Xenopus tropicalis: one gene and its partners. The protein of the gene in region 2 interacts with the protein of the main gene of each other region in a biochemical or structural test. Links are inferred from orthologs where the notes say so. Each region holds a gene or a part of one and is shown on either strand. Other genes may lie near its edges. The genes, in order: marchf6, ube2g2, uba1 and uba6.

Region 1 (4,876 bases), on a different chromosome or scaffold from region 2:
AAATTATAGATTGGGAAGAGACAGGGGGAATGTGAGTAACAGGTCCCGTTTAATTTTTTAATGGAATTAAGAACATTTATTTGTATAGTGATGTGCAGTGTGAAAGCCCACAAGCACTTGTTTGACATCTTTTATTCTTAATATGGTTCTGAAAGAATAGTATTTAAGCACTTGTTTGATATGTTTAATTCTTTTTTTTTTTAAAGTTTTTATTTATGCATTTTTCAGATTAACATAAAAGTAAAACAGCAAAAAGGGAGAGAGAGAGAGTAGAGAAGTAAGGGAGGAGAGGGGGGGGAGGAAGGGGAGAAGAGGCAGGCTGTAGAGCTGGGGAGATGGGGACCAGTTTATTTCCGTTGTTATGGTATATTGTCCGCAGTGTTTCCTGGGGTTTCGTGGAAGGCAATCCATGGGCCCCATATTGCATCCAATTTTTTAGGACAACCCCGTGCAAGGTAGGTCAGTTTCTGGTTAGTTAGAGTGTTGTTGACTAGAGTTCTCCAGAATGGGAGGGTTGGGGGGGCTAAGCATTTCCATTGCAGTAGAATGGCCTTTTTGGCATAGTAGAGGAGCTGGAGATAGCAGAGTCTAGAATGATGTGAAAGCCCCAGGTCCTCTGCCACTCCCAGTAGGCAAACAATTGGTGACAATATCCGGGGAAAGCTTAGGTCATCTGAGATATCGTTGACAATTTTCTTCCAGAAGACCTGCACGGCTGGACAGTTCCAGAACACGTGTATGTATGAGCCAGTTTCTCGGTCACATTTTATACAGGTGTCTGGGGTCTGGGGAAACATTTTGTACAGCCTGTATGGCGTAAGGTATACCCGGTTTAGAAACTTCATTTGTATATACCTGTCCGCTAGTGATATTGTCAGGTCTGGAATTTGCCTTAGAGCATCTACCCAAGTTTCTTCAGTTAAGCTAGGGATATGTTTAATTCTTAATGTGCTTCTGAAAGTTTAGAATTTAAGGGGACAAATAATAATCATCATTCTGTGTGCAATTGTCTTTATTTTTCTTGTGCAGGACTGGGCTCTTGGAGTTCTCCATGCCAAAATAATTGCTGCTATAACTCTGATGGGTCCTCAGTGGTGGCTGAAAACTGTAATTGAACAAGTAAGAAACCAAATAATTTTTATTCCTGATTCTTGCATGTAAATAGCACAGACAAAAGAATACAAAATAGTGACCTTCTCCAATATCTCCAATAAATTACACAAGCTCCTTTTGCACTAATTCTTATTGATACATGAAAAGACATTAAGATACTACTAAAATGTCCTTATTTATAAAAATAAAAATTGCAACATATGATACAGAAGAGCAATGAATATCCTATATATTATATCCTTTTATACTGTGCCTAATAAGGAAATCAGTTTTAATCAGTTTTGTATGATATGAGGGTATTTAAAATAACCTTGCAGTTCATTATTTATATTTGCTGTTCAGAAGCGAGAGCCATACACTAATCTGTGTGTCTGTTATTTGACCCACTCTTTTTGTCATCTGCTGCTGGCTGTTCCAAAGCCCGTTCCAAAGTGTACCCTAAGCCAATTGACTTCACTACTCCTCCAGTTACATGGGAATAGGAGAAACAGTAGGTTATCTGAAAGCATTTCTAATGCTGACTCCTTCTGAAAGCTCAAAATCAGGCACAATGTACTGAGATGGCTCACCAATATTACAAATAAAAAAAAAATAAAAATACATATGTTGGTTCAAGAATAAAATTTTAAATGGTGACGTGAATTACTTGCTAAAACAGTGTAATTTAGAAATAAAAAGTACACTACAAAAAATCATGACAGAATCCCATGATTCCCAAAAGAGACCTCAACTGATTTTTATATGGCTATTAGAAGTCACCTCTTCTGAGTTCTGTGACTCAGCATTGTATGGTCACATAACTCTTCTTGACGTCAACAGCATTAAAATTACAGTAGAGGAGGCGGTATTCTCTATACATTTTACCAGGTCAACTGGTCCAGTCATCAGAAATAAGAGAAATTGATTTATTTATTTTCCCAGCATAGCCAAGACTTGTTAACACCAATAAATAAAGAAAAATGGGTTTCACCCCACTTAGGGGATCATGCTGCATCCAGGGGAGGAATACTAGTAGAGGAAGACACCATGTTGAAGTTCTTTATTACGTTTATTGTAACTTAAAAAATTGGCAACTTGTACATGTTTTATATTTTGGCTGTAATGTTTTAAACTTGCTTAACCAAAGAATTTTGAAAAAAGTTCTTGTTCAAAGCAAGAAAATACTCCTATGTCTGTACTTTTTTGTATACACAAGTGTTTAATATATTTTCAATGTAGTGCCCTGTGTATTTACACATACACAAACAGCAAACTATTTTATGGAATAAATCTAATCATTATTTATTGGTGAGCCACCTCAGCCAAATAGAAGCATGATTTTTGTGTTTTGTTAGGTAAAACCCTTTTGCTTCCTGCAGAAAAGATGTTCTCAAGTGAAAAACAGGTTTTCATTTTGTTTTGGTGTAAAATACTTGTTAAAAGTCTGTTTGTTTAAAAACCATGTATGTATTTCTCCATGGTAAAGCTATTCTAAACATTTTGTAATGAGACCAGGTTTGTAGAGATTAATTTGGGCTAAATATAAACTTTTATTTTCCATCCTTTGTGTTTTTATTAGGTATATGCAAATGGAATACGCAACATTGATCTTCATTTTATAATACGCAGACTTGCTGCACCAGTCATCTCTGTTCTGTTGCTGTCACTATGTATACCATATATAATTGCTGCTGCCATTGTGCCAGTAATTGGTAAGTGTTTCTGCTTAAGTTTTTGTTTACAGATGTATAAGAAATTTTTCTAAGTTCTTTCATTTTTTACAGGTGTCACAGCAGAAATGCAAAATTTGGTACAGCGCCGCATATATCCATTTCTTTTGATGGTAGTAGTTCTGATGGGGATCTTATCCTTCCAGATCCGCCAGTTTAAGCGCCTTTATGAACACATCAAAAATGACAAGTAAGGAAACAATTTTATATTACCAATCTTCCTTTTTTACCTGCTTGAACTATATGCTAATTATTAATACATTTTAAAAGTTTGCATTAAAATGTTTTTTGACTTGTTTATTTCCTGGTTAAATTGGTACCCTTGGCTATAGCTAAACATGAACTTTTGTTTGTTCAGCCTTTGGGTCCGTCTCAGGGCCCCATGCAGGGGTGAATAAACTGCCAACTCAGACCACTGGCAGCTTTTATCGCCCTGTGTACAATCAGATCAATCCAAATTGATACTTTATAACATGATCTGGATGAATATTGAACACATTTTACTGTTTTTCAGTGTTATGTTTGTCTGACACTGTAGGCTATTTTAAAAGATAGCCGAGTATCAGATATACAATCTGCATATATATTACATGCTGTAGCACACAGCCTAATGCTACCTTCTTTCAAAATAAGGAATGCCTAGACACTGAATGCTGTTCATTCAATTCACAACAGGCACTCCTACATAAACTGAATACTATTTTATCGCAGTTATTGCAGGGACCCCTAGATGCAGCATTATAACAGGCAACGTTGATGGCAATTATAACAAAAGCTTCAATCATACTACCTGCTGCTACGTCCATTTTATATCACATTTAGACTGCTTCTGCAGACTCAATTCTATTTGCCGCAACTTTTAATAATAATAAGACCCCCAAGACAGGCTGCCTTATACAGGAACTCCCAAGTACACTGTCTACAGCTGCTGCACTTTTATATGAGAGGCCCATGGTGTTTATTTAATGTTTTTGCTAATAACTTCCTGTAACCCAAAAGCACCTATCCAGGACAAGTTCACATGTAATGTAAATATCAAACAATCCCTACATACCATACAAGCATGTGGAGGATAAGCAGCTGTTTTGTCTCTTGGCTTCGATTGTCAGATCAAGCAGCCTAGGTAAACCTCAATCACACCTGTTTCCTAAAAGTATTTAGCTCACAGACCGGCTTTTCACATCTAAGGCTGATGCCACACGTGGCGTAGGGCTGATTTTTTCGGCTACATGTGCCTGCACCCAAGCGTATCCCATTCATTCGGGTGCAGGCACAAGTAGCAGGCGTAGGGCTGAATTTTTGGCAAGCGTTTTTCCGCTTGCCGAAAAAATCAGCCCTACGCCTGGTGTGGCATCAGCCTAATATCTTGCAGTATTTTTCGCAAGAAAGCTCACAATGACATCACTGGAATCTCTGTGAGCTGACAGGTAGTGATTTTTTTTCTACAGATACTAGTGAGCAGCACTACCCTTCAAGACAAACACAAGTAGGCAAATTGTCAGTCTTAGGATTTGTTTATTTTTCTCTTTCTTTTTTTAAACTTTGATTTTTTTTATGGAGGGTTGAGGGAGGTTTAGGAAAATGCCTATTTCTTTATTCATTTTACTTAAATACCAGTTTAAGAGTTAAAGGGATTAAGTAAGGCTGAAGAAAACAAAATATCACAATACCAGCACTGTTTGTGATACATACTTTAGCCGACCATATATGCACCAATAGTATCGTACAAAACCTTGATTCGTATGATACTTGGTTTGTGTATGGCGGGTCGACAAAGCGACTGATATCGCAAAAGGCTGCAGATATTGGTCGACTCGCCGATCGACCAGGTTAAAAGATTTTGTAATGGCACCCGAGCAAAATCTACGTTCAGGGCTGAATCGGTAGATTTTTTATTGTTTCTACCTCCATATCTGACAATTCAGCCCTGAACATCAGTGGAAGGTGGGAACCATCTTTCGTGCAACCATTGGTCGCACAAAAGATCGAAATTGCTACGTTTATGGCCACCTTTAGACCTAGATATACACCTAATATTTTATAGCTCATTTACC
Region 2 (3,622 bases):
CCCTCAAATAAAGCTGAATTACAACAATTCTGCAAAGATGAGTGGGCCAAAATTCCTCCAGAGCGCTGTAAAACAACAACAACAACAACAACAAACATTTGTAAAGCGCTTTTCTCCCGTGGGACCCAAAGCGCATAAGCTTGTCTCAGATAAGTTATGTGGCCATAAATGCCAGGCTAAACAGGTGAAGACTCGTTGCAAGTTATCGCAAACGCTTGATTGCAGTTATTGCTGCTAAGGGTGGCCCAACCAGTTATTAGGTTCAGGGGGCAATTACTTTTTCACACAGGGCCATGTAGGTTTGGATTTTTTTTCTCCCTAAATAATAAAAACCCTCATTTAAAAACTGCATTTTGTGTTTACTTGTGTTATCTTTGACTAATAGTTAAATGTGTTTGATGATCAGAAACATTTTGTGTGACAAACCTGCAAAAGAATAAGAAATCAGGAAGGGGGCAAATAGTTTTTCACACCACTGTATATATATATATATAAGATCTTGCTCTGAGCTAAGAATTTTTAACCCTATAAGACCTCATTTAGGGTAATTTGTGCAAGTGTCACACATTAAGGTTAGTGCAGGTAGATCTGTTATGCGGAATGCTTGGGGCCTGGGGTTTTCTGGTTGAGGGATTTTCCGTAGTATGGAGCTCCATTCCTTAAGTCTACTTAAAATTGTTGAAACATTAAAAAATCCAGTAGAATTGTTGTTTTGCTTTCAGAATGGATTCATGTAGATTAAATACCATCAAATACAAGGTACTATTTTCTTACTAAAGAGAAAAAAAGATCATTTAAAAATATTAAAATTATATGCTTCAAATAGACTTTATAGGAGGCGAGTTTTCTGGATAACGGGTTTCAAAGTGAGGTTTCATGAGGTGTCATGATTTGTGGCAGCAAGTTGAAGTTTTCTTTATTCTTTTTGCCTGCAGGGGCCCAGAAGACACATGTTTTGAGTGTGGCGTTTTCCCAGCGATTCTCAGTTTTCCTCTTGATTATCCACTTAGCCCACCGAAAATGAGATTTACCTGTGAAATGTTTCATCCAAACAGTAAGTAAACTGATTAGCTCAACTACTGGTACTGAAGCTTTTGTCTAATATTACAGTAAATGATTTTGGCAAATCCACATAGACATAAACAAGAAATATATAAGTAATGATAAAGATATTTAACAAGTATACGTTTAACGTTGCAGCCCTTTTTATTTATTTATTTCTGCATTTAATTAACTATTTTTGTATGCCTGTGTAGTCTATATAAATTAATGCCTAAATGTAAAGGGGTAAAATGAGTGTCTTTATCTATCAGGCTGAACTTTCTTATGATTTCTATAAACTGATGGTAAAGTTTGAAAGCACTAAACATTTCTACTTGTTTCTTTTTATACAAGTCAAAGGCAACATATTGTTTTCATTTTCTGTCAGTATGGTACAAAACCAACCCATAATTTGTCTTCTTTCAAGATGCTGAAACACATAAGTGTATGTAATCCAGTCCCATGAATAGCCATTAAGAGTAAAAAAGGGTTAAAAATCCCAGAAAAGGAAGGGCTTACAAAATGCCAACAAATGCTGTTTTATTAAGATTCGCATATTTAGAGGAGGCTGTACTTGGCAGAAAAGTAAAGGTTTTGAGTATCTTATTATCTTTTCATGTGCTGATGTGTAATTCCTTGTATATATTGATTAAATGGAAACATTTTATATATATATATATATATATAGACGTGATGCATGGGGATGATCATAGTATAGGCACACAAGCCTTATAAAAAGCCAGCATTTAGAAAAACGTAACTTCCATATTCTTCCAGATATTACCAGATATTATTTGTTGCATCTTGTGTGGATCAACTCTAAATGATTAACTCTTCACATTTGAATTGTTTTGTACATTCTGTTATTAAATTTGCAATAAGGTTTGTGGCAATTACAAAGCCCAAAGCACAGTGGACAATGAACTGCATCAGTTATTTCAGGTGCATATAAAGGACCTGTAGTGCAATGGCAAAGTATTTACACTGTTGCGCTAGCTTAGTAAATAGCACACCACTAGTAGATAAATAACAGAAATTAAGTGTCACTTGGTTGGCATGGAAAACATAAAATCAACCATGTTATTGACTTACTTAGAGAGCTAAAAATACAGTATTGGTATAGATAGTATATCTCTGCAGTATATAATCTTTAAATAATTTCAAAATAATTTTGAGGTTTCTTTTACCTGCTGCTCTTATTGTTACCTGATGAATAGTGATCAAGTGTTCAAAAGCTTTTTTGCATGCTTAATTTTTTTTCTTTAGTATATCCAGATGGGAGGGTCTGCATCTCCATCCTGCATGCCCCAGGAGATGATCCCATGGGTTACGAGAGCAGTGCTGAGAGGTGGAGCCCTGTTCAGAGTGTGGAGAAGATTCTGCTTTCTGTTGTGAGCATGTTAGCAGGTGGGCAAATTTAATTTTTTATGATAAACATTAAGGGCAAGGGCACACGGGGTGGATTGCCAGCCTGCAGATAAGCACAGGCTGAAATCTGCCCCTATGCTTATAAAATCTTCTCGTTGTTCCTGCATCCAGAAGCATTGAATCCACACGGGTGCAGGATACGCAGCGAATATCCAACAACAAACGCGAAACTTGCTGTTTGTTGGTGGATATTGGCTGCGTGTGCCTTAACCTGAGGATTTACTGCTTCCCGTGTACAGGAACAACTAGAAGATTTTTTATGTGTAGGCGCAGATTGTCATCCCGTGCTTATCTGTAGGCTGACAATCCACCACTTGTGCCCTGACCCCGAGAAATGAGCAACTGCAGCTACATTCCAAGGAAGTCAGCACATTTTATAACTATTATTCTCCGTTTTATTTACCTTAAATACCCATAGGTAAATGAGGACCCAGCTTATTCTGTGAACACAGTATCCCTCCTCTGTAGATTTACATTCATGAATGACCTTACAAAGAGGTTGTGGCAGTTTGAGCAGGTTCTAATATACACGCATAGGATTTATCAGGCAGATCAGAGTTTAAGTCCAGGCTTAGAAGCAGTTAATACTGTCTCACAAGCAGCCCTAACCCATGGATGATTAGTAGAAAATGATTCAGAATAATATAATTATCTGCTTTTTGCTTCTTTGCTAAAATGCTAAAATCTTTTGCAGAGCCCAATGACGAAAGTGGAGCAAACGTGGATGCTTCAAAAATGTGGCGAGAAGATCGTGAGCAATTTAACAAGATTGCAAGACAAACTGTGCAGAAATCATTAGGGTTGTGAAACCTAGCAGTATTTTAGAAACTGGATCCCAAAAACTTTTTGTATGAACGCTTTATGGACTCACTAGAGAAATTTCTATGTTGTAATTCCTTTTCTAGTTGAGCTGAATTATTACATCATGCAGGGCTTGTATTCATCACAGCTTAGTAAATACTGCATGTTTTTTTTTTTAAAAAAACCTACACAAGTACTTGCTGGCTGCTTCCTTATTTGCAACTGCCTTTATTCTCTGTTTTTTATTAAAGGTGGATCTTTGTTTTAAAACAAAGTATCAGACGTAGAAAAGCCACCGGTGTTCTATACTTTGTTTGTTAATGCAGACCTCTGCCATTATTTTGAAGACTTG
Region 3 (5,581 bases), on a different chromosome or scaffold from region 2:
CTGTCTGTCCCTCTGTACCGGCCCTGATACTGTCTGTCCCTCTGTACCGACCCTGATACTGTCTGTCCCTCTGTCCCGACCCTGATACTGTCTGTCCCTCTGTCCCGACCCTGATACTGTCTGTCCCTCTGTCCCGACCCTGATACTGTCTGTCCCTCTGTCCCGACCCTGATACTGTCTGTCCCTCTGTACCGGCCCTGATACTGTCTGTCCCTCTGTCCCGGCACCGACCCTGATACTGTCTGTCCCTCTGTACCGGCCCTGATACTGTCTGTCCCTCTGTACCGACCCTGATACTGTCTGTCCCTCTGTACCGGCCCTGATACTGTCTGTCCCTCTGTACCGGCCCTGATACTGTCTGTCCCTCTGTCCCGACCCTGATACTGTCTGTCCCTCTGTACCGACCCTGATACTGTCTGTCCCTCTGTACCGGCCCTGATACTGTCTGTCCCTCTGTACCGGCCCTGATACTGTCTGTCCCTCTGTCCCGACCCTGATACTGTCTGTCCCTCTGTACCGGCCCTGATACTGTCTGTCCCTCTGTCCCGGCACCGACCCTGATACGGTCTGTCCCTCTGTCCCGGCACCGACCCTGATACTGTCTGTCCCTCTGTACCGACCCTGATACTGTCTGTCCCTCTGTCCCGGCACCGACCCTGATACGGTCTGTCCCTCTGTCCCGGCACCGACCCTGATACTGTCTGTCCCTCTGTCCCGGCACCGACCCTGATACTGTCTGTCCCTCTGTCCCGGCACCGACCCTGATACTGTCTGTCCCTCTGTACCGACCCTGATACTGTCTGTCCCTCTGTACCGACCCTGATACTGTCTGTCCCTCTGTACCGACCCTGATACTGTCTGTCCCTCTGTACCGGCCCTGATACTGTCTGTCCCTCTGTCCCGGCCCTGATACTGTCTGTCCCTCTGTACCGACCCTGATACTGTCTGTCCCTCTGTACCGACCCTGATACTGTCTGTCCCTCTGTCCCGGCCCTGATACTGTCTGTCCCTCTGTCCCGGCCCTGATACTGTCTGTCCCTCTGTCCCGGCCCTGATACTGTCTGTCCCTCTGTACCGGCCCTGATACTGTCTGTCCCTCTGTCCCGGCACCGACCCTGATACGGTCTGTCCCACTGTCCCACCCCACTGTGGGTTCTCTGTTCAGGTTACCCACAGCCTTTTGGTGCCAGGATACCAATATAAGTAGGAGGAGCTTATATTTCTAGCCTGGTTACATTGTACCATTGAGTTGAGTTGTTGGGGGCAGAAACGTGGAAATAAAGACCAATTGCATTGGGGGTCACCCTGTTTGATTGCTCGCTCTGCTGCCACGGGGGGTTTAGCTGTGCGGCGAGGGTGGCACAAATAGTATAGGGGTGTTATTATATTGGGCTGCGTGGGGATGAGTTGGGCGCCTGTGAGTGTCACTGTGTGAGTACAGCTGCTACTGCTAGAGAGGCCTGTGTAAAGCCGCTTTGCCCCATGTTGGGGGGGGGGGGGTACAGTATGCTGGGTAGGTTATGCCAGGCTTCATACGGGGCAAACGCCAAATGGTGGGGCCCCAAACCCTTCCTGGGCCCCAGAGATACCGTAGAATTTCCTGCAGTCTCACTGCTGTGCCTGCCCCCGTCTCCCTGCCGTTGTACCTTCTCTCACCCCCAGGTGGGGCAATACCTGCAGCATGGCAGCTTTGTAATGCCCAACAGGAGCTGCTTGTTCTGCCCAAGAGCTGACATTCTATAATATTCATTATAGAGTTACAGAAATTGTTGTATTTGCTCTGTGTTTGCGCACACTGCTTGCTCGTCCCTCGTGCCCCGCCCCTGCTTGCTCGTCCCTCGTGCCCCGCCCCTGCTTGCTCGTCCCTCGTGCCCCGCCCCTGCTTGCTCGTCCCTCGTGCCCCGCCCCTGCTTGCTCGTCCCTCGTGCCCCGCCCCTGCTTGCTCGTCCCTCGTGCCCGCCCCTGCTTGCTCGTCCCTCGTGCCCCGTCCCTGCTTGCTCGTCCCTCGTGCCCCGCCCCTGCTTGCTCGTCCCTCGTGCCCCCCCCTGCTTGCTCGTCCTGGTGCCCCGCCCTGCTTGCTCGTCCCTGGTGCCCCCCTTCGCCGGCCCCCCCTGCTTGCTCGTCCCTGGTGCCCCGCCCCTGCTTGCTCGTCCTGTGCCCCGCCCCTGCTTGCTCGTCCCTGGTGCCCCGCCCCTGCTTGCTCCGTCCCTGGTGCCCCGCACCCTGCTTGCTCGTCCCTGGTGCCCCGCCCCTGCTTGCTCGTCCCTGGTGCCCCGCCCCTGCTTGCTCGTCCCTGGTGCCCCCCCCCTGCTTGCTCGTGCCCCGCCCCTGCTTGCTCGTCCCTCGTGCCCCGCCCCTGCTACGGTACCAGCCCTGTACAACCGCATACACTGACCTGATCTTTTCTCCCGGTTAGATGTCCAGCTCGCCGCTGTCCAAGAAGCGTCGCGTGTCCGGATCTGAGACAAAGACGGGTTCAAACTGCTCATCCTCCAACTCCGTGAGCACCGATCAGACTGCGCCGGCCAACGTGAGTGCCCCCCGGGCTGTGCCGCCATATTCTAACCCCTTTCTACTTTGCTCAGAGTCAACCTGTACCCTTGGCTTTCTAGCTGGGGGCCAGTAGTAATGTGGCCCCGAGATTAACCCAATGGGCTTATTGCAGGGGAGGGCTCTAGTGTGGCCCCGAGATTAACCCAATGGATTTATTGCAGGGGAGGGCTCTAATGTGGCCCCCAGATTAACCCAATGGATTTATTGCAGGGGAGGGCTCTAATGTGGCCCCCAGATTAACCCAATGGATTTATTGCAGGGGAGGGCTCTAATGTGGCCCCGAGATTAACCCAATGGATTTATTGCAGGGGAGGGCTCTAATGTGGCCCCCAGATTAACCCAATGGATTTATTGCAGGGGAGGGCTCTATGTGGCCCCCAGATTAACCAATGGATTTATTGCAGGGGAGGGCTCTAATGTGGCCCCCAGATTAACCCAATGGATTTATTGCAGGGGAGGGCTCTAATGTGGCCCCCAGATTAACCCAATGGATTTATTGCAGGGGAGGGCTCTAATGTGGCCCCCAGATTAACCCAATGGATTATTGCAGGGGAGGGCTCTAATGTGGCCCCCAGATTAACCCAATGGATTTATTGCAGGGGAGGGCTCTAATGTGGCCCCCAGATTAACCCAATGGATTTATTGCAGGGGAGGGCTCTAATGTGGCCCCCAGATTAACCCAATGGATTTATTGCAGGGGAGGGCTCTAATGTGGCCCCCAGATTAACCCAATGGATTTATTGCAGGGGATGGCTCGGAACGGGAATTCTGCTGAGATAGACGAGGGTCTCTACTCGAGGCAGCTGTAAGTATAAGACCCTCCCTGGCTGCATGTTATTCGGGGGGGCTTTCTTCCTATTGGCTGCAGGGTTTGGCTCCTCGACTGTTGCTGGGGGCCCCTCTGCTGTGTGGAACCAAGGCCTGGGGACTTTTTTCTCTCTGGGAGGTTAAACTGCCCAGTAGCTTTAACCCTTTTCAGTCTGTGTAACTTCAGTGACCTTTGACCTCCCCAGACCCCTGTATTGTTCAGCATGGCCAGGTGACTGCTGTCGGCCAATCCCGTGAGACTCACATGCAGCCCTAATATAATTGCTTGTTGGAGAAGCAACAGATCAGCGGATTTTGTGCTGACAACTCTTCCGGGTCTCCTTGGCCTTTATGGCCATGTGACTGCAGCCTTTGAGTGGGCCAATCAGAATGGGCAGCTGTACAGATGTGTGCCTTCTGGTATAGATTGGCAGCTTTCCCTATACACAGTTACTGTTTTGTGCATCCCAGGTCCTCCCCCCCCCCCCCCCCGTGTCTTTGTGGGGTCCCCCCCTCACTCCATGAACAACTATGTTGGGCCCCCAGTAAACCTGGCAGCCGGGGGGGTGTCTAATGGCTTAGCTAGAACTGAGAACGCTTGGTGGGAGGGGCTGGAGGGCTAGTGGCTTAGCTAGAACTGGGAACGCTTGGTGGGAGGGGCTGGAGGGCCAGTAGGGCTAATGGCTTAGATAGAACTGGGAATGCTTGGGGGGAGGGGCTGGAGGGCCAGTAGGGCTAATGGCTTAGATAGAACTGGGAACGCTTGGTGGGAGGGCCAGTAGGGCTAATGGCTTAGATAGAACTGGGAGGGGCTGGAGGGCCAGTAGGGCTAATGGCTTAGATAGAACTGGGAACGCTTGGTGGGAGGGGCTGGAGGGCCAGTAGGGCTAATGGCTTAGATAGAACTGGGAATGCTTGGTGGGAGGGGCTGGAGGGCCAGTAGGGCTAATGGTTTTAGATAGAACTGGGAGGGGCTGGAGGGCCAGTAGGGCTAATGGCTTAGATAGAACTGGGAACGCTTGGTGGGAGGGGCTGGAGGGCCAGTAGGGCTAATGGCTTAGATAGAACTGGGAACGCTTAGTGGGAGGGCCAGTAGGGCTAATGGCTTAGAACTGGGAGGGGCTGGAGGGCCAGCAGGGCTAATGGCTTAGATAGAACTGGGAACGCTTGGTGGGAGGTGCTGGAGGGCCAGTAGGGCTAATGGCTTAGATAGAACTGGGAATGCTTGGTGGGAGGGGCTGGAGGGCCAGTAGGGCTAATGGCTTAGATAGAACTGGGAACGCTTGGTGGGAGGGGCTGGAGGGCCAGTAGGGCTAATGGCTTAGATAGAACTGGGAATGCTTGGTGGGAGGGGCTGGAGGGCCAGTAGGGCTAATGGCTTAGATAGAACTGGGAATGCTTGGGGGGAGGGACTGGAGGGCCAGCAGGGCTAATGGCTTAGATAGAGCTGGGAATGCTTGGGGGGGAGGGACTGGAGGGCCAGCAGGGCTAATGGCTTAGATAGAACTGGGAATGCTTGGGGGGAGGGACTGGAGGGCCAGCAGGGCTAATGGCTTAGATAGAACTGGGAATGCTTGGTGGGAGGGGCTGGAGGGCCAGTAGGGCTAATGGCTTAGATAGAACTGGGAATGCTTGGTGGGAGGGGCTGGAGGGCCAGTAGGGCTAATGGCTTAGATAGAACTGGGAATGCTTGGGGGGAGGGACTGGAGGGCCAGCAGGGCTAATGGCTTAGATAGAGCTGGGAATGCTTGGGGGGAGGGACTGGAGGGCCAGCAGGGCTAATGGCTTAGATAGAGATGGGAATGCTTGGGGGGAGGGACTGGAGGGCCAGCAGGGCTAATGGCTTAGATAGAGCTGGGAATGCTTGGGGGGAGGGACTGGAGGGCCAGCAGGGCTAATGGCTTAGATAGAACTGGGAATGCTTGGGGGGAGGGACTGGAGGGCCAGCAGGGCTAATGGCTTAGATAGAACTGGGAATGCTTGGGGGGAGGGACTGGAGGGCCAGCAGGGCTAATGGCTTAGATAGAACTGGGAATGCTTGGGGGGAGGGACTGGAGGGCCAGCAGGGCTAATGGCTTAGATAGAACTGGGAATGCTTGGGGGGAGGGACTGGAGGGCCAGCAGGGCTAATGGCTTAGATAGAATGGGGCTGGAGGGCCAGCAGGGCTAATGGCTTAGATAGAATGGGGCTGGAGGGCCAGTAGGGCTAATGGCTTAGATA
Region 4 (5,567 bases), on a different chromosome or scaffold from region 2:
ACTTCTGAAAAACCTACTCATTTTAAATGAATGAAAAATAGATTTCCTGTCCCTGGCAGTCTTTTAATTGAGTCACCCATAACTCAAAGTTTTAATCACTAATTAGGGTATTTTTCCGGTTACTACCGAAAGCACCAGGCAAGAAAATTGAACGCTTGTATAAAACTGCAATGAGCAGAGCTGCGCTAGGTCATCTCAAACTACGCATTACCTGATATTGTTTTAAAGCTTCCAGTCTTTAATGGCTTTTTGGCAACATGTACAATCCGAGCCTCCTGTCACTATCTAATAAAGATAGGCTTGTCTGAATTATATTCTGCTCTTTCCTTCCGCTTTCTTATAGCTGCAAGGCATGGTGGGATTTGTAGTTTTCCTTTTTCCTTTCCTCATTGCTTCCTTTCCCTGGCCGACACCGAATTGTGACGGCTGCAGCATCACAGGTTAGAATTCTACACGCTGTATTGTAACTAGAATGAAACACATTTTGTTTGGAGGAGGGTTATAAAGGAGACAGCATTCTAATGGGACATTTGCTTGTGTTCTCTGCTGGGTGCCGTGTCACTGCTGTCAGTATCCATGTGTAAGCTTGCACCAGGATTTTGCTGACATTTCAATGGGGGTACATTTTTCTTAAAGGGGATGAACTTTCCAGTATATATGTATTAGATATTCTTAATGTTTTTAACATTATTTGTAAATGTAATTGCATTTGAAAGCAGTATTAATCTCTTTATGATCTCTCGTTCTAAGTCTTGAAGCAATGGAGTAGATGTCAGTTCTCTACTTTAGTCAGCTGGCTTCTGCTACTTTGTTTTAGGAGTCACCCAGCAGTGCAGAGAATATAAGCAGGCAGAAAGATGCTGTAACATTTACATTTAACTTCAAAGCTATTGAAATATTCAAATGTATATTGGAAAGTTTCTTTCATCTTGCAGTAGCAACAACAAACAAAGATATATCTGTGAAATATTTACTATTTTAGTGTAAGTGGCAGATCAGCTTGTGCTTTATTTTCACTGGGATGTTTCAACTTCTGTTTTACACAAAAAACACATCAGTCTGTAATGGTTGAAAATCACCTGTCTGCACTTACAGGCTGACTGTTCTAAACAACTACTGTCATTAAGGGCAAAGTCACATGGAGCTACTAATAGCCGCTACTTTTTCACAGCTACTAAACTCCAGAAAATACCTTGCCATAGACAATAGTGAGAATTGCCTCTGCTAAAACACACGTAGAGACAATTATCAGTAAATGATCAGCAGTCTTTTTTTAGCCACAAGTAGCTGCTACTAGTAGCTCTGTGTGTCTTCACCCTAAAAGGGGTGCTATAATCACACATTTGTCCCATTCAGGGCCGGATTTCCAAATTGTCCGCCCCCGGTCACACGCCTTCCCCCCCAGTGCGCATGCGCGATACAGGGGGAGAGGGGTTTGCGTGCGCAGTGGGCCAAACTTGGATACGAAGCAGTGGGGAGAAGTCCCCCCATTGCTCCGTATGGGTACAAAACTTTTTAGATTTTGGTGTGGCGGGGCGGCATGCCGCCCTAGGCCCGGGCCTTTGTGGCCTCTCCACAAATCCGGGCCTGGTCCCATTTCATTATTCATTGCTTAAATAACCATTTATTATGGGTTCATATTATTAGATTTTATATTTCCACTGAATTGTTTGTTCATCAAAGCTTTTTCTTCTCCTTTAACTCTTACCAGGTATCAGGAAAAATCTGTATTTCTGCCCCTTATTTTTAAGCAAAACAAGCATTATTTTCCCCACAATCTCTAACGTCTGCAGCCAGATGCCCCTCCCCTGTGTGTATGTCACACTATCTTGCTTGTATGTGCCTGTAGTATGATGCATAGCAGGCTGGAATGGTTGAACAATTGGATCAGCAAGTATTCTGGCTTACCTCCTGGGGTGGAGCCTGCAGCCACCTTGCAGACAAGTATGAGGAAGAGAAGGCAGGATGCAAAAGAGATTAGGCAAACTTGTACACCAGGTAGTATCGTTCAGGTTAAGTAAGGTAACCAGCAAATGACCAGATTGCATTCTTCTGTTATATTAGTCAAAACTAGTAGCCCAGTTCCCCGCCTTCTGAACAACTTTCTGTGTGCCACCCTGTCAGTCATACCTGGTAAGATTGGTGCTTGTGGCCCCTCTGTCTGTTGTCATATTAAAACCAATATTCTTGTACCTGGCTTTTTAATTAATTTTTCTCTATGTATTAAACAAAATGTTGGTGCCCTATGTATTGAACCAAATACAACATCTATACTATATATTAATGAAATTGAACCATTCCATACTGCCTTAGATATTTCCCTATGTATAATGTAGGAAATGTAGAACCCATCTATTTATTCTTTCTGTGCCATGTTGCCAAAGCTAACTATAGCATGTCCCACATTGTCACTGTATCCTACATTTCTTGTTTTGCACAAAGCAGTCAAAGGATGCTAATTGAGTAACAGCCGGATAGGTAATGGTACCAAAGGTACTATCCCATTAGCTGTTTTTTTTGTAATTTTTTCTTTTTATGAACCTGACTTTAACTGACTTGACGTGATAAGAAATCGTGGAAACTCTTCTGCCTTTTGTCCACAGACCAAAATATGTTAGCAGTATTTGCTTTTCACCTTTTTTTAGCAGCTCTCGCTTTCTGGAGTATGTTCATCTTTTGGCCTCCCTGGTTACCCCTAAATACTAAGCTCCAAATACAGGATTCAGTTTAAGAGTCATCCAACTAGCAAGTTTTATTAGGACTTATTAGAACTAAGCTTTAATGTTCAGCCAAACCCAGTCTTGTACCTGGAAAATAAAAGCACTGCACAACAGAAGGCAATGTTTTTCCATGGATGATGCAAACTTTTTAATTCTGCTCAAAACAAAATATGCAAATTCAGACTTGGGATCATTTAGGTATTTCACCAAAATGATCGCTTCGAATTGATTTGTCTAATAAATTTGGACCTGGTGTATCTTTATCAACTACAGGTGACTGCAGCTATTCTGGCTAGCTACTTATAAAAGTGTCCTATTAAAATGAGTTTCCTGTATTTCCAACATTGCTTACAGTGTAAACCCTAGTTTCATTAGATATATATACAGTACCCATGCACTTTTCTCTCTCAAACAGTATGTAAATATTCCCTAGTTCTTACCCAGCAGTATCTATGATTTCCCTGGAGGTTCTGCACCAGTATGTAGGGTTTCCCTTCACCCTTTATTTCAATTACAGGTATGGGATCCGTTACCTGAAAACCCATTATACAGAATGTTCCAAATTAGAGGAAGGCCATCTTCCACAGACTCCATTATAAGCAAATAATTAAAAATTTTAAAAGTGATTTCCTTTTTCTCTGTATTAATAAAACAGTACCTTGTACTTGATCCCAACTAACATATAATTAACCATTATTAGAGGCAAAACAATCCTATTGGGTTTAATTGATTAAGGTATGGAGATCCCTTATCTGGAATCCTCTGGTCCCAAGCACTCTTTATTTTGAATAAAAAATCCTGCATTGAAATTGTGTTCTGTGATTTCTTATCAGAATTAGCTTGTCTATGTCACATTATTTAAAAAAAAAACCAAAAACATGAAATGTGTTTTGTATAATTATTCAGTCCCCATAAGTATACATAAGTATGCTTTGCATACTAATTGGGTCTGATTTTGGCCCAAACTTGCAGATTTGTTCCAAGTTTTCCAAATAATTTTGATGCAATTTTCAAAAGAGTGCCAAAGATGCACAATTTGATTAAGAATCTGGGCATTGACTGGGAATATGCCTTTTGGTTCTTGCTACCATAAAAATTGAGAAATTATGACCTCCCTGTATTTGTTTGTGTCAGCCATAGTTCAATTACCATCTTCTCGAAGTCCTGCATTTGTGTACAAAATGCTGCAGTGTGCTTTTTTGTGCTTAGTCACCAATTCTAAGGTAGATAGATTTAGAGCAGTATCTGCCAAAAATGTGATTTACAAGCAACATAAACATTCTCTGTGCATTAAGTTTTGTTTTTAAATATACTGGACTTCATTTTACCTTTTCTTGACAGTTAAAGTATTTGACATAAGTGTTGAAGGGTCTGCAAATAAATGAGCCAAAGCACTCAAGTATAATTTGATTATAACCATAACTTGATCCTGCTACTTAATATCTAATCCTTCTTCTATTTTTCACAGGCAGCAAAATATACTGACCAAATTATGGCAGCAGAATCAACTGAAATTGATGATGGTTTATATAGGTAAGTGGCAGAATATTAATTATACTTAGGCTGAGGGTACACAGGGTGCTTTTCAATGAATCTGAATGAGCTGTCAATATTTTTAAAGGGCAAGTCAAGCAAAAAAATTTTTTTTTTTTTTTACCCAATAGAAAAACAAAATTCTAAGCAACTTTGCAATATACATTCATTACAAATTTATAATTGATCAGTGTTTGCCTGTCATGTTCTATTCCCTGCCCTGGTGGTTCAGACTGTAGAAACAATGTAACACAAGGCAGCAGATTGACAGACCTTTCTCGCTGGAGGAGGCTGACCATTGCAACATTGTTTAAAAGTAACAACCAGGAGTTCAGCAAATGCTGCTTTCAATAGCAATTGCATTTACAAATAACTTTTAAAGCACTAAAACATTTAATAAATCCATATTGGAAAGTTGCTTTGAATTATGTTTCCTTTTACTAGGCAAACAATTATTCTTGGGGTTGACATGCCCTTTAAACATTTCTATTTTGAGTCAATGGAAGGCAAGGAATAGCAAATTCAGGCTTCTGGCACATAGGTGTGTCCTGCACCCCCCCCCCCCCCCCCAGGTATGTCAGTGGCGATGCCCCATCCACCTAATTGATGTTACCAGCAGTACTGTTCATATATATAGAAAACAAGTCAGGATTGGCCTGGTTCAGGTCATTCAAGAGCATTCAAGATCACATACCGTAACAGCCATTTACATAGTTATGTAGGTAAGTTGGGTTGAAAAAAGACAAAAGTCTATAAAGTTCGACCCTTCCAAATAAACCCCAGTGCATACACATACATATACAGACCTATCTAAATACTCAAAATATATAAAATATATACTAAACTATATTTCTCTACAAATTCATCCTTTCTTGTTTGAATTAACAACTGAACAGCCTGTATATGGTACCAAGATAATAGCTTCTCTGATTTATCACAGCTTATTTAGATATCACTTTTTAATAAACACAACTAATTACTTAGCCACGCAAAGGTTTGGGACTTCGGAATACTGAAGCGATGCAAAGGGCTTTCCACTGGCAACTCCTATTGTTGCTGGTGGAAAGCCATCTTACCCATAATAGCTTAAGAGCTTATTTAGCACAACCATTCTCAGTTAGTCATTTTTTTATATAACTTTTGTTTCTGGTTGTGGGGTTTCAAACCAAGTTAAGGATAATGTGGCTTGTAGTATTTTAATACAACCCATTTTTCTATTGAGCCACTCGGGGTCTGTTGTCATCTGAAACTGGGGACTCTTGTTCACTGTTGTGTGTAACAAATCCCCTATTTCCCAGATTGGAAATACCTGGT

Evidence for each region.
Region 1: the proteins of ube2g2 (region 2) and marchf6 form a complex in vitro, tested with the Homo sapiens proteins (2 studies listed by BioGRID). The link is inferred for Xenopus tropicalis from reciprocal best matches to the Homo sapiens genes UBE2G2 and MARCHF6.
Region 3: of the proteins of ube2g2 (region 2) and uba1, one has a biochemical effect on the other in vitro, tested with the Homo sapiens proteins (5 studies listed by BioGRID, with this or other methods). The link is inferred for Xenopus tropicalis from reciprocal best matches to the Homo sapiens genes UBE2G2 and UBA1.
Region 4: the proteins of ube2g2 (region 2) and uba6 form a complex in vitro, tested with the Homo sapiens proteins (2 studies listed by BioGRID, with this or other methods). The link is inferred for Xenopus tropicalis from reciprocal best matches to the Homo sapiens genes UBE2G2 and UBA6.

Annotation. Positions count from the first base shown.
Region 1 is NC_030682.2:69,926,992-69,931,867, forward strand, and holds part of marchf6 (E3 ubiquitin-protein ligase MARCH6), read left to right. Parts: intron 1-1,029; coding exon 1,030-1,119; intron 1,120-2,671; coding exon 2,672-2,804; intron 2,805-2,876; coding exon 2,877-3,012; intron 3,013-4,876. UniProt on the Homo sapiens protein: Endoplasmic reticulum membrane-associated E3 ubiquitin ligase that plays a critical role in mitigating endoplasmic reticulum stress, the regulation of cholesterol and lipid homeostasis, and ferroptosis.
Region 2 is NC_030685.2:55,059,462-55,063,083, reverse strand, and holds part of ube2g2 (ubiquitin-conjugating enzyme E2 G2), read left to right. Parts: intron 1-935; coding exon 936-1,054; intron 1,055-2,307; coding exon 2,308-2,448; intron 2,449-3,163; coding exon 3,164-3,276; 3' UTR 3,277-3,622. UniProt on the Homo sapiens protein: Accepts ubiquitin from the E1 complex and catalyzes its covalent attachment to other proteins. In vitro catalyzes 'Lys-48'-linked polyubiquitination. Involved in endoplasmic reticulum-associated degradation (ERAD).
Region 3 is NC_030684.2:524,381-529,961, forward strand, and holds the start of uba1 (ubiquitin-like modifier-activating enzyme 1), read left to right. Parts: upstream 1-2,392; 5' UTR 2,393-2,416; coding exon 2,417-2,530; intron 2,531-3,299; coding exon 3,300-3,358; intron 3,359-5,581. UniProt on the Homo sapiens protein: Catalyzes the first step in ubiquitin conjugation to mark cellular proteins for degradation through the ubiquitin-proteasome system.
Region 4 is NC_030677.2:82,717,217-82,722,783, forward strand, and holds the start of uba6 (ubiquitin-like modifier-activating enzyme 6), read left to right. Parts: upstream 1-1,759; 5' UTR 1,760-1,965; coding exon 1,966-1,998; intron 1,999-4,188; coding exon 4,189-4,253; intron 4,254-5,567. UniProt on the Homo sapiens protein: Activates ubiquitin by first adenylating its C-terminal glycine residue with ATP, and thereafter linking this residue to the side chain of a cysteine residue in E1, yielding a ubiquitin-E1 thioester and free AMP.